Ovis aries: one gene and its partners. The protein of the gene in region 3 binds, or shares a complex with, the protein of the main gene of each other region. Links are inferred from orthologs where the notes say so. Each region holds a gene or a part of one and is shown on either strand. Other genes may lie near its edges.

Region 1 (3,652 bases), on a different chromosome or scaffold from region 3:
TGCATGAAAGTGCATAAGATGCATAAGAACTGCAGGAGGGTCTTAAACTGGATAGCAAGTTTGATATTTTGAACCATTTTCTCATATTTTCTAGTTTTTGCATGTCCCAGGTAAATTACATTAAACATGCATTCAGATCACCTGGGTATATTGTTAAATGGCAGATTCTGATTTGGGGTGAGCCTGAGATCCTTCTCTTGTAACAAGTTTCTAAATGATGTGGACATTTCTATTCTGTAGGCTACATTCAGAATATCAGATAGTTCTAGATGATTTTGTTGACTTTGGCAGATTTATGGTTTACTGCTGCATGTCCGATATGGCTGAGTTCTATCAGAAGTTTTATTAATAGTTGTTTTAAAAGAGAACTTAGGACTTCTGTAAATTTAATAATACAGTTGACTGAAATAATGTTTGTCTTTTGTATTCACATTTCCCTTTTCATATGTTTATGCGTCTTAACTCTAGTTTTGCTTCTTTCTCATTTCTTTTTTTGTTGTGATTTTTGCTTTTCTTTAATGTATTACTGTGTTTTGTGGATCTGGTCAGGGAACCGTTACTGTATTTTATGTTTGTATCTACATTTTATTTTGCATGCGTAACGTGGCTTTGCCTGGATGTTCTTTTTGGTAAGTTCCAAATTTATAAAGCATATTGTTTCTGTAGTGTAAGTTATAATATTTTTCACCTTCTTTTCTCCCACTTTTAGTAATGTGATCATGCTCATGAGTTGCTTTTAGTTTTCTTTTAAGAGTTCATTTGATAGTTATTTTTTTCCTAACACTTCCAGTTTTCCTTAATAGTAGTGCAGTTTGGTACTAATCCGCTTTGATTCGTTTTATAGCCTCACACTGTAAGTTGCTGGTCACTATTTAGAAGTTGCTGTTTCAAGTATTTTGGTTTTTTAAAAGAGCCGTAATCATCTAGAAATATTATTCTAAAAGCTTGTGCTTTCATATAGCAATCATAAAAGAAGATAGTTTGTATTAAACATAATAATTTTGTTCACAGTAAACAGTGCATTCTAATTTTGTTTTCACAGCAACAGCTTGCACAACTGCAGAAAGAAAAATCAGAGATTCTGAAAAATCTGGCATTATATTACTTCACATTTGTAGATGTTATGGAATTTAAGGTATGTATTTTAATACATACAGTTTAACATTTCAGAGATAAATTGATATTTGTTAATTGTATAAATTGTTCTGTCACTTGTGGATAATAAAGTATGTGTTTTCTGAATTTAGTAGTAGTCATATAAGTAAAAGATTAAAATAAACTTTTGTTTTCAGGACCATGTTTGTGAATTGCTGAATACTATTGATGTTTGCCAAGTCTTCTTTGACATTGTACGTATAATTTTCAGAAAATTTTCTAATTCTTCTCTCTGTTTCTAGTAGTAGAACTAAGGGGATCAAATGCTTTTCTTTAGAGATAATTTATATGATTAGTATATAAAATTTCAGCATTGAATTTGACTTTTTTTTTAAGGCTCTTTTTTTTTACTTATTGATTGCCATTGAATATAAATCTTGTACATATTGGGAAATAGTTGTTAATTTTAGTATTTTATTTTAATAGGCTCAATTTTAAAAGGTTACACAAATAATTTTTTCTCTATAAAAGGCATATTTGATAAAATCTTTCTTAATAAGACAATTTCTAGATATAAGAAATGAGTGAAAAACATCTCCACTGAGTTAACAGTGAACCTATTCATTAATTTAATACTCCTTTTTTCTTGCGTAGTGAGAATTGCTTCCATGCTTATTATTATTCTGATTTTGGCTATTCTTTTAAATTGTTAGCAGGTTGAATAGGGTGATCACAAACTCTTTCACCTGTAAAATTACACTATTATTTGTAACTCCCAAATTTTAGACATGTTTTTGGTGAAAGGAATTAGGTAGAATTTCAGAAATGGGGATAAAATAAATAAATACAGAAACTTATTAGCTTCCAGTAGCTGCCATGAAGATTCTTTTGTGTGTGCTTAAAAGTTTGTGAAATAAAAAGTTGAACTTAATGTTTTTTTTTCTTAGACTGTAAATTTTGATTTAACAAAGAACTACTTAGATTTGATCATAACATATACAACACTAATGATACTGCTGTCTCGAATTGAAGAAAGGAAGGCAATCATTGGATTATACAACTATGCTCATGAGATGACGCATGGGGCAAGGTATACCGCATTAAAGAAACCTGTGTGAAATTCTCAGTTTGATGGCTTACAATTCAGTGATATTTATGTGTCTGTTTTAAGTGACCGAGAATACCCACGCCTTGGTCAGATGATTGTGGATTATGAAAACCCTTTAAAGAAAATGATGGAAGAATTTGTGCCTCATAGCAAGGTAAGAGCTGGGTTTCAGGGGTGCTTCAGTAGGCATATGAGAGCTTGAGGGTGGATAGGGTGATAAACTGCTTCTAAGAAAGAAAATCTTAATGAGATATGATTTATGGTTATATATGGTTTTATCTAATTGTGAACCAGAGAACTCCTTAATTATATCCAGAATTGTTAATGGAAACTCTGGAATATGTTGATCCATTGTAGTTTTTAGGTTCTCTATAGGATATAGTTAGTGAAGTTTAGTATTTGAGAATGTCTACTAGATTCATATCAGACTGCTTTGTTCTAATCCCACTTCCGACAGTTACTGTGTATTATTGGGCAGGTTACTTAACCGACTTCACTGTATCTCAGTTTTCTTACCTGTAAAAATGCAGTAATAGTAGTCCTACTCTATAGGGCTATTATGAGTATTAAATGAGTTATTTTGTGAAAAGTGTTTCCACACATAGTATTTGATAAATCTTAGTTAAATGTTATTAGAGTATAGCCTCGTAATGAGAAAAAATTGCAGGAGTTTGTGATAATTTGAAATGTCTGTCATTTATGATATATTAAAAAATAGTTCTTAATGAAATAATTTTGGTTTAGAGTCTTGCCATTATGGCTTCTCTGAGGGAGGGCTAGTTCCTTAGCATGTCAAGGAAGCTTATAGGTATCCTCATAAAGATAGGGAAATTGAGGACTGGAAGTGGTATGATGAAGTAAGCCATTTGGCAGCAGTTGTGGCAAAATGAAGGCTAGGATATTAGAATCTTGTTCCATTGTTCCCTTTGAATGATGGGAGTTAGGTTTTTAATAATGCAGTGTTTTATATGAATCTGTGCTTTATTTTTTTGACATACAGTTAGCAGCAAGAATTTTCCTTCAGTTTTCTTACTGAAGATTCTAAAGATGCATTTCCAGTTTAATTTCTCTGCGGATCTATATTATACCCACAAATTCATGTAGATTTAATGTCTTAGCGTTAGTTGTAGCATTAGCTTGAAAGAGTCTAGTCAGTTCAGTCGCTCAGCTGTGTCCAACTCTTTGCGACCCCATGAATCGCAGCACGCCAAGCCTCCCTGTCCATCACCAACTCCCGGAGTTCACTCAGACTCACGTCCATCGAGCCAGTGATGCCATCCAGCCATCTCATCCTCTGTCGTCCCCTTCTCCTCCTGCCCCCAATCCCTCCCAGCACCAGAGTCTTTTCCAGTGAGTCAGCTCTTTGCATGAGGTGTAGATGATACCAATTTTGAAGTAAAAATCAGCATTGTAGATGGAAGTGTCAGGGTTTCTCAAAGTGCTAAACAG
Region 2 (4,389 bases), on a different chromosome or scaffold from region 3:
GTTGGGAACCCCTCAGGGGTTGCTGAAGGGCGAATGGCAGGCTGGGGGAACTTAAGAAGGTGACACTTGCTGTATGCATGGTGGATCTTCTGGCCCTGTGTATAGATGTGTAGAGAGAGGGAGACTGAGGGCATGTTTCCGGGTGTAAATGAGTGTGGCTGGCTGTGTGGCATGTGTATAAATGTGTACATGATCTGGGCCAGTGAAAATGTGGACAGCAGTGTGTGTGTGAGGGGGGAGGTGTGTGTGTGCCTGTGCCCTTGTGTATCTGTTTCAGCGTGTGGCTGTGTCTGCCCTCTTTGTGCCTGTGCGCCTGTATGTTCCCTAAGGGTGTGTGTGTGTGTGTTTGTGTCCGTGTGTATGCCCATGGCCCTGGGAGGGCCAAGTGCAATTGTAGGCACCGGCCAAGAATAGCACACAGATGGTAGCACATGCACACTGGAGCACTCGCTTGCATGTGCACATGCACACACGCACACACACACACACACAGCCAGCTGCTGCAAGGAGGAGGCTGGCTTCCAGTCCTAGGGCACAAACTCCCAGGGCCAAGAGAATTCTGCTTTGGGTGTGTGGAGGAGGCACAGCTGGGGCTGGAAACGCTAGAGTGGGAGGAAGGGAGGGAGAGAGGGAGGGAGGCTGGGGAGCCACATCCTTGATCTCTGGTCTGTTTCAGCAGTTCCGGACTTGGTGCTCTGGGTCTCTGTGTGACTCTGGGTCTCTCTCTTGGATCTCTGTTTCTCTCTTCTGGGTTTTGGGCTCTGAGGCTGATCACATGGCTCTAGGTCACCACCTCTGCAGCCTGCTTGGCTCTCTGTGTCCTCTTCCAAGTCTCTCTGTCTCTATGTCTGCCTCTGTCTCCGTGTCCTTCCTTGTCCTTGCCAGGTGGGAGGAGGGGGCCCAGTGCTCAGGGAGCAGGTGTTGGCTCATTCAGGCAGCAGGGAGTGAAGTTGAGAAGGGCACAGAGCCAGGAGCTCCTGGACACACAGTCACACTCCAGGACACAAACTCAGGGCACTTACAGGAACACACAATGACATACATGGAGAAGTAGGTTCTGGAGGACATACACACAGGTACACAGTTCAACACGCAGCTGCTCCCCACCACACACAAGGATGCTAAACACCGAGAGTCACGTGCAAAGAAATCACACGTACACACGTACTCATCTAGGCACACCCGGATATACAGTCACAGGCACATGGCATTCTTCCAGAGGAAAACCCAGGGCCATGGGCATACACATGGACATACACACACACACACACACACACCCCTTAAGGAACATACAGGCATACAGACACAACCACACGCTGAAACACAGATACACAAAGGCACAGGCACACACTCAGTTACGCTGGGGCAGTCACACTCAGAGCCACAGACAATCAGGAGCAAGAAGGCAAATGAGCACAGACAGGCAGATAACCCTCAAGGACAACCAGACACAGAGGCACAACAGGCGCGCTGAGGGACACACCCAGGCACAAGCAGATCATCCTCAGGTACACTCCCCCCCCACTCCGGGCTCACTCTGGAGCACCTGGGGACACGCCCACAGGCGGCGGGCGCGGGGACCCGGCGGCCCAGCGCACCTGGCGCCCACGGCTCGCCCCCGGGAGCCCCCAGGCGCCCTGAGTGTGCGTGCCCGCGCGAGCGTGCCCGGCCCGCGCGCGCGGCCACCTGTGGGAGGAGAGGTGCGCGCTGCGCCCGGGGCGGCCTGGCCGGCGCGGCGCGGGGGGAGCGGTTGCCATGGCGCACAGAGCGCGACCGCATACTAATGGGGCGGCCACGGGCGCTGCCCCCTGCCCGGCGGCCCGCTCCCTCCGCCCACTCCTTCCTCCGGCTCAGCCAGAGTCGCCCCTGCCCCGCGGCTAGGCCGGCGCACCCCAATCCGAGAGCCAACGCACCCGCCGGCCTGGGGCCTGGGGCGGTCGGGAGGCCCGGGGATGGGAGAGGGGCGCTGCGGGACCCCCAGAGGAGGCCCCGGCCGGGTGAAAGGCGGCGCGCGGGGCGAGGGCCTGGGGCGCTGAGGGGGCTGCCTGGCCTGGGCACGGGCACCAAACGGGCATTGGCAGCTGGGAGCGCAGGTGCTGTCTTGGAAACGGGGGTGGGGGGGGTAGCTAGGAGGGGGTGGCTATCCTGGGAGAGGGGGGAAATAAAGGGAGAATTTAACCCTTTCGTTGCCAGAGGGTCCTCCAGCCAGTCTTCCCCAGGCTTGACGGGGAGGGGGAGGGGACTTGGCCAATCGCTAATATGGTCTGCACCCCTCACTTTCCATCTGCTTCCAGCATCTCTCCAGTTCTGGCAGGGGGCATCAGTTACCTTCCCTCCAGTCCTGCCCCTGTCTGACGGGTGAGGAGGGAGGGAGCGTGGAGGAGTGTGCTGAGGACTGGGGGCCAGAGGACGGCGGCACCAGAAGGGTTACACCTCCCCACACCTTAATCCCAGTCCCAGAGCCCCCCTTTCACGCAGCCTTGACCCCCTACCCTCTCAACCCTGCTGTTTTAATTGGCATGGAGGGGGCGTGGCCGTATCCCGGGGTGGGGGGAGCCGGCAGAGGGTTTGCAGGTAGAGGCAGTGGGAGGTGGGGGCTTAATAGAGGGGGGGAGCCAGGCGGTTGCCTAGCAACCCCACAGCTGTCTGTTGACCTAGAAGAAGCTGCGCTGTCTTGACACAGCTGGTGTTTACATGTAACCGAGGCTCTGGCTTACTGCTTGCTCGGAGGAAAGCTGAGGCAGTGCCCTGGTGGCAGCCTGGCCTCGGCTCCCGGCTGTGGTGGGCTCCGTGCCTGGTTCCTGCCTGCCCTCCTTACTTCAGCTCCCACCTCAAGTCCAACGGGAGAGAGAGTGGGAGGGCAGATCTCAGAGCTGGAGGCACTGGGGCTGGGGACAACTGATAGACACACACACACACATACACATGGCACAAAACCCGAGGCCTTCAACACAGAAACGGTGGAAGACTGAAAAAGGACTGAGGGACAGAGGTGCTCAGTTTGTGCACAGATTTCAACCCCCACAGACAACTCCATCATTTGCAGGAACGCATGAACACACAGACCCACAAAATCAAGCTGACAGCAGGCACACACACCGGCACAGAGGTGCCTGTTGACAAAGTGACTGACGTCCAGGCAGACACACGGAAACAGAGTCATCAGATGGCGGACATCCCAACATGCAGACACACTCGCGGATCTCTTGGTACAGAGGACAAACAGACACCGACCATCTGATCGAGACACACACTCCAGCACACTGCCACACCGAATTCTCCATGTGGTAACACCGGCAGCCATCACACCACCACAGTCCATTCCAGCCTAGGGTTTGCAGGTCTGCATTATGAAAGAAACCCAGCCTCACATACAGAGGAACATTCACACAGGGGAACACCCAACTCCCCAAACTTTCATTGATTGCCCACAAGGTTTAAGGCAGGCAGCTGCTGACAGCACGGACATAAGTGAAGACACACCCAGGAGCCTGACATGTGACGGGACACAGGTCCCTGAAGCACCACGGGCCCTGACATGTCCCGCCCGCACCCACACAAACACATGCCGGCCTAGGGTGTGAGCCGAGCTGAGACTCCTCCCTGCCCACAAGCCCTGAGTAGCAGCAGATGTGCCTTGGGGTCAGAGGGCCCTAGTGGCTCCAGGACCAGCTCCAGATGAACCCATACCGCCTGGGCTGTACCCTTGACCCTCAGCACTAGAGAGGAAACAGCATCAGCTTCCCTGGGAGCCCCCTACCCAGGCTGAGGAGGAAAGATATAGCCCATCCCCAGAACCCCTGGTTGGAAGCCCTGTCCTCCCAAGTCCCCGCCTGGACTGATAGAGGAGACATGGTCCTGCCCACAGCAGCCCTGATCTGATGGAGGCTGTATCTCCCTCCCAGGCAGCTCTGGACGCTACAGACACAGACACACACACACCCTAGCATGTGGCAGCTCCCAGGAGGTTCTGGAGGGCTTCCTGACAGAGGTGACCCTGGGGCCTGGTTTGGGAGTCCAAGAGGGAAGAAGGAGGGGGTGTGCTGAGGAGGGCCTCCTTATCTCACCCCACACCCGCCCCTTGCCCAGCGGTTCCTCCTCCCCCCAGGGCCCAAGGGGCCTGCTGGGGCCCCACAGCCCCATCAGCCCAAGCAGTGAGCAGGAGGAGGAGAATGGATATTTTTAGCTTCTCTGCCACTGACATTTCGCAGCAGGCGACCTGGGGTGAAGCTGAGTGAGTGCTGAAGGCTGGGAGAAGCCTCCAGCGCCTTCCCGCCCCCACGCACATGCACACACAACTGTGCACGCACACAGACACATCCCCCAACACTCACTGAAGGGACACAGCTTCAGGTACACAAGTTATGTGTGGATCTAGACACACACACA
Region 3 (3,433 bases):
AAATGTCTTTGTAGAGTTCTGAAAAATACCTGCTATGTAGTTGATTACATTTGATTGCCTTTGAAATGGACTCACTTCTGTTGGCTTCATTGGATTAACTGACCTTAAGCAAATACCTGTAGCATTCTTTCCTACCCAAGTTTTAAATATACGGTTGAAGTAAATAGGCTGTTTTCTATTTTTAAACAGTAAATATTCTACATATTACTGAGGAAGTCTTGAATGTTCTACTTCATATTTAGATTCTCATGTACCTTCAAATAGACATATGCTGTGGTTATTATGAGAATGATAAACGTGAGCAGTCTTGAATTGTGTTTTGACACATATTTTCTAGTATGGAAAAGCAAATTTAAATAACTATGAAAATGGGACAAGTTATATTTACATAACAGATTTGGAATGATATAATGGTTAATATATTTGGTAATAGAGCAGGATTAAAGAAATCTCTTTACAAGTTGAATGAAATAATGAGTCTTAAACCAGAAGTAGTTACCACATTTTTTGGAAAAGACCAAATAATAAACTTTTTAAGTAATCAAGGTATATTGACATATTAGTTTCAGGTGTACAACATAATTCTTTGGTATTTGTATATATTGGCAAAATGAAATATCTTTACTTTGCTGGTCATTCAGACTTGTCGCAACTACTCAACCCCACTGTTGTAGCACAAAAGCAGTCGTTGAGAATCCCCTGGTGGTCCAGTGGTTAGGACTTCACGCTTCCAGGCTGAGGGCCTGGGTTCAATCCCTGGTTGGGGAACTGAGATCCCAAAAGCCATGCAACACAACCAAAGGGGGGAAAACAAAACAAGCAGTTATAGACAGAACACAAGTGAGGATGTGGCTGTGCCCCAGTAAAATTTATTGACCGAAAGGCTTTGGTTTGAATTTGGTCATGGGCCATTGTTTATGGACTCCTGGTCTTAATCAGAAAGTTGATATTTAGTAGGGTTATATTTAAAGTCTTTAATAGTCACCTTTATAAGTCACAAGATGATTAAAACCAGGTTTAACAGGATTTCAATTGACTATGTTAGTCCAATAGTATGACATGACTATTGCAGAAGCCAGATTCAGTCACTTACATTAGACTAATAGTATGTTTACTTTTGAGGACAATATTCAGGAGGCTGAAATATTTAAGACAGTGTATCTATAACAAGTTACAAGCATTGTTTCTAAGTTGAGGAAAAAGAAGATTTCCGAGGGACTAGATAGCTATCTTCAAATTTTTATCATGTAGACAGATGTAGGGGTTTCCCTGGTGCCTCACATCTGCCTGCAATGCAGGGGACACGTTTGATCCCTGGGTCTGGAGGTGGCATGGCAACCCACTCCAGTATTTTTGCCTGGGAAATCCCATGGACAGAGGAGCCTGGCAGGCTGCAAAGTGTTCATAGGGTCACAGAGAGTTGGACACGACTGAAGTGACTTAGCACACATGCATTCATGACAGATGTAGATGAGAATATTAGGTTTTTAGTCCCACAGAACCCTACAGTGAGTATATAGAGAAGGGAGAGCTCAGCACTTTATGTGGACTAGGATCCTACAGACTAGGATGGATGTGCATTGTTAATGGTTAAATACTCGGCAGTGAGAACTGTTATATGAGAATATATGCATTGGGGAAGGGGAGGTGAGGGGTGACTAAGTTTCATTTACAGAGGGGATTTGGCAAATAGAAACAATTAGTTGGGTGCAGTGTTTTTATCAGCTCTTAGTATAAGTGGAACTAAGAACATGAGGAAATACTATTTTAATTTTGCTGAATGACTTTGAGGATATCAGGCATTGTCATGATCAGTTTAAAACTCACCTATACCACTAAAAATGTGACAGAATGCAAAAGAAAATGTTCCTAGCAGTCATTTGGTTTTCTTGGGTGGTTATTTAGCCAAAAATACCAGGATAATTAATGTTATTTATTCTGTATGTTTTGGAGTTTTGAAACTGGGCATGTTAAGTGAGCCTGTGATTACAACACTGTGATTTCACTGCAGGATTAAAATGGAGGAAAATGTACTTGTTGAGTTTACTTCATATACTGTTTTGTAAAGGGGAAAAAAAAAGATTGCCTGTTTTACTCTATCAAATGATGCTGTGGATCAGTACTTCGGGTCTTTTCCTTATTGTATTTTATTGATTCAGAATAGTTATGGAGCATAGCCACCTTTCTTAAGGAACTAATGAGTTCCAGAATATCTTAAATGTCTTAAAAATCCTCTTTTTAAGAAAAAGATTACATGAGGTAATGAAAAAAATTTTGTATGACATACTGTTTCACATATATTGGAAAATTGCATATTCTAGAATGATCATGTTATAAAGCCAGAAAGAAGGAAGACTTAAAATAATAAACCAGTGGTTTGGAAAGCTAGTGATTTTTTGATGCCTTTCCTTTGCACAACACCATTTGCAAAGGAAATGGATATTTTGTACTCAGCATGATCATAGATAACTCAATAAATAGCAAAAATGTTCTCTTAAGTCTTATGTGAGTCTTTACTTACCTATTTCTCCTTTAAAAATAAAGAAAAATTCTTGCTGACCTCTAAGGTGTATATATATATATATCTAGGTATAGCCCCATAAATTATATGAACATATGAGTATTTTTCTGGGATGAGTAGGACGAGATTCACTTCACAATATATATATATATATTTAAATTAGATAGCTTGGGTTGTTACGTTTACTGATTGGCTCTGCAGCTTTACTCAATAGTTACTTTGATAAATGGTGCTTTGCATATGGTTGGCACTTAGTAGATATTTGAACAAATGAACTGAAACATGTAATAAACCCTAAAATTCAGAGACCTTTCCTAAATAGGTTTGTAGAAACTCTTGACTTCTCAAGTTATTTGTCGGTTTGGCCTGAAGGTCAAGCTAGTAATTTAGGCACACAGTTGGCTACTTGACCTACCTGGATATAGAGATTTAAGAATTAAGAGTATTCATAAAAAGGTTGGGTTTGCTATACTATTCGTTGGCATTACATTTAAAAATTCAATTAAACGTAGGATATAATGCACTCACACGATCTTCCAATTCTTCTCCACAGTTGTGGCAATATACGATTATACAAAAGACAAGGATGATGAGCTGTCATTTATGGAGGGTGCAATCATCTATGTAATAAAGAAAAACGACGATGGCTGGTATGAAGGAGTCTGCAATCGAGTGACTGGTCTGTTCCCAGGAAACTATGTGGAATCAATCATGCACTATACTGATTAAATTTTTGCTTTTAAAGTAGATTCTTATTATCACTCAGTCATACTGTGGGACTATTATGGTTAACAGAATTGTCTTAAAATGTTTTAAAATGTGCCCATATTTTCAGAACATGCTGTTTTATTGGTATAATTGAATGTCTACTTATAAGCATAAATCTCTGAGGCAGTTTGTGGATTGCTGAGC

What was found.
Region 1: ABI1 (region 3) and NCKAP1 share a complex: the UniProt entries of both Homo sapiens proteins name them as parts of the WAVE2 complex. The link is inferred for Ovis aries from reciprocal best matches to the Homo sapiens genes ABI1 and NCKAP1.
Region 2: ABI1 (region 3) and WASF2 share a complex: the UniProt entries of both Homo sapiens proteins name them as parts of the WAVE2 complex. The link is inferred for Ovis aries from reciprocal best matches to the Homo sapiens genes ABI1 and WASF2.

The regions. Positions count from the first base shown.
Region 1 is NC_056055.1:126,755,624-126,759,275, forward strand, and holds part of NCKAP1 (nck-associated protein 1), read left to right. Parts: intron 1-1,042; coding exon 1,043-1,135; intron 1,136-1,292; coding exon 1,293-1,349; intron 1,350-2,042; coding exon 2,043-2,185; intron 2,186-2,266; coding exon 2,267-2,357; intron 2,358-3,652. UniProt on the Homo sapiens protein: Part of the WAVE complex that regulates lamellipodia formation. The WAVE complex regulates actin filament reorganization via its interaction with the Arp2/3 complex. Actin remodeling activity is regulated by RAC1.
Region 2 is NC_056055.1:239,513,673-239,518,061, forward strand, and holds the start of WASF2 (actin-binding protein WASF2), read left to right. Parts: upstream 1-1,452; 5' UTR 1,453-1,508; intron 1,509-2,726; exon of another isoform or gene 2,727-4,389. UniProt on the Homo sapiens protein: Downstream effector molecule involved in the transmission of signals from tyrosine kinase receptors and small GTPases to the actin cytoskeleton. Promotes formation of actin filaments. Part of the WAVE complex that regulates lamellipodia formation.
Region 3 is NC_056066.1:17,244,772-17,248,204, forward strand, and holds part of ABI1 (abl interactor 1), read left to right. Parts: intron 1-3,074; coding exon 3,075-3,250; 3' UTR 3,251-3,433. UniProt on the Homo sapiens protein: May act in negative regulation of cell growth and transformation by interacting with nonreceptor tyrosine kinases ABL1 and/or ABL2. May play a role in regulation of EGF-induced Erk pathway activation. Involved in cytoskeletal reorganization and EGFR signaling.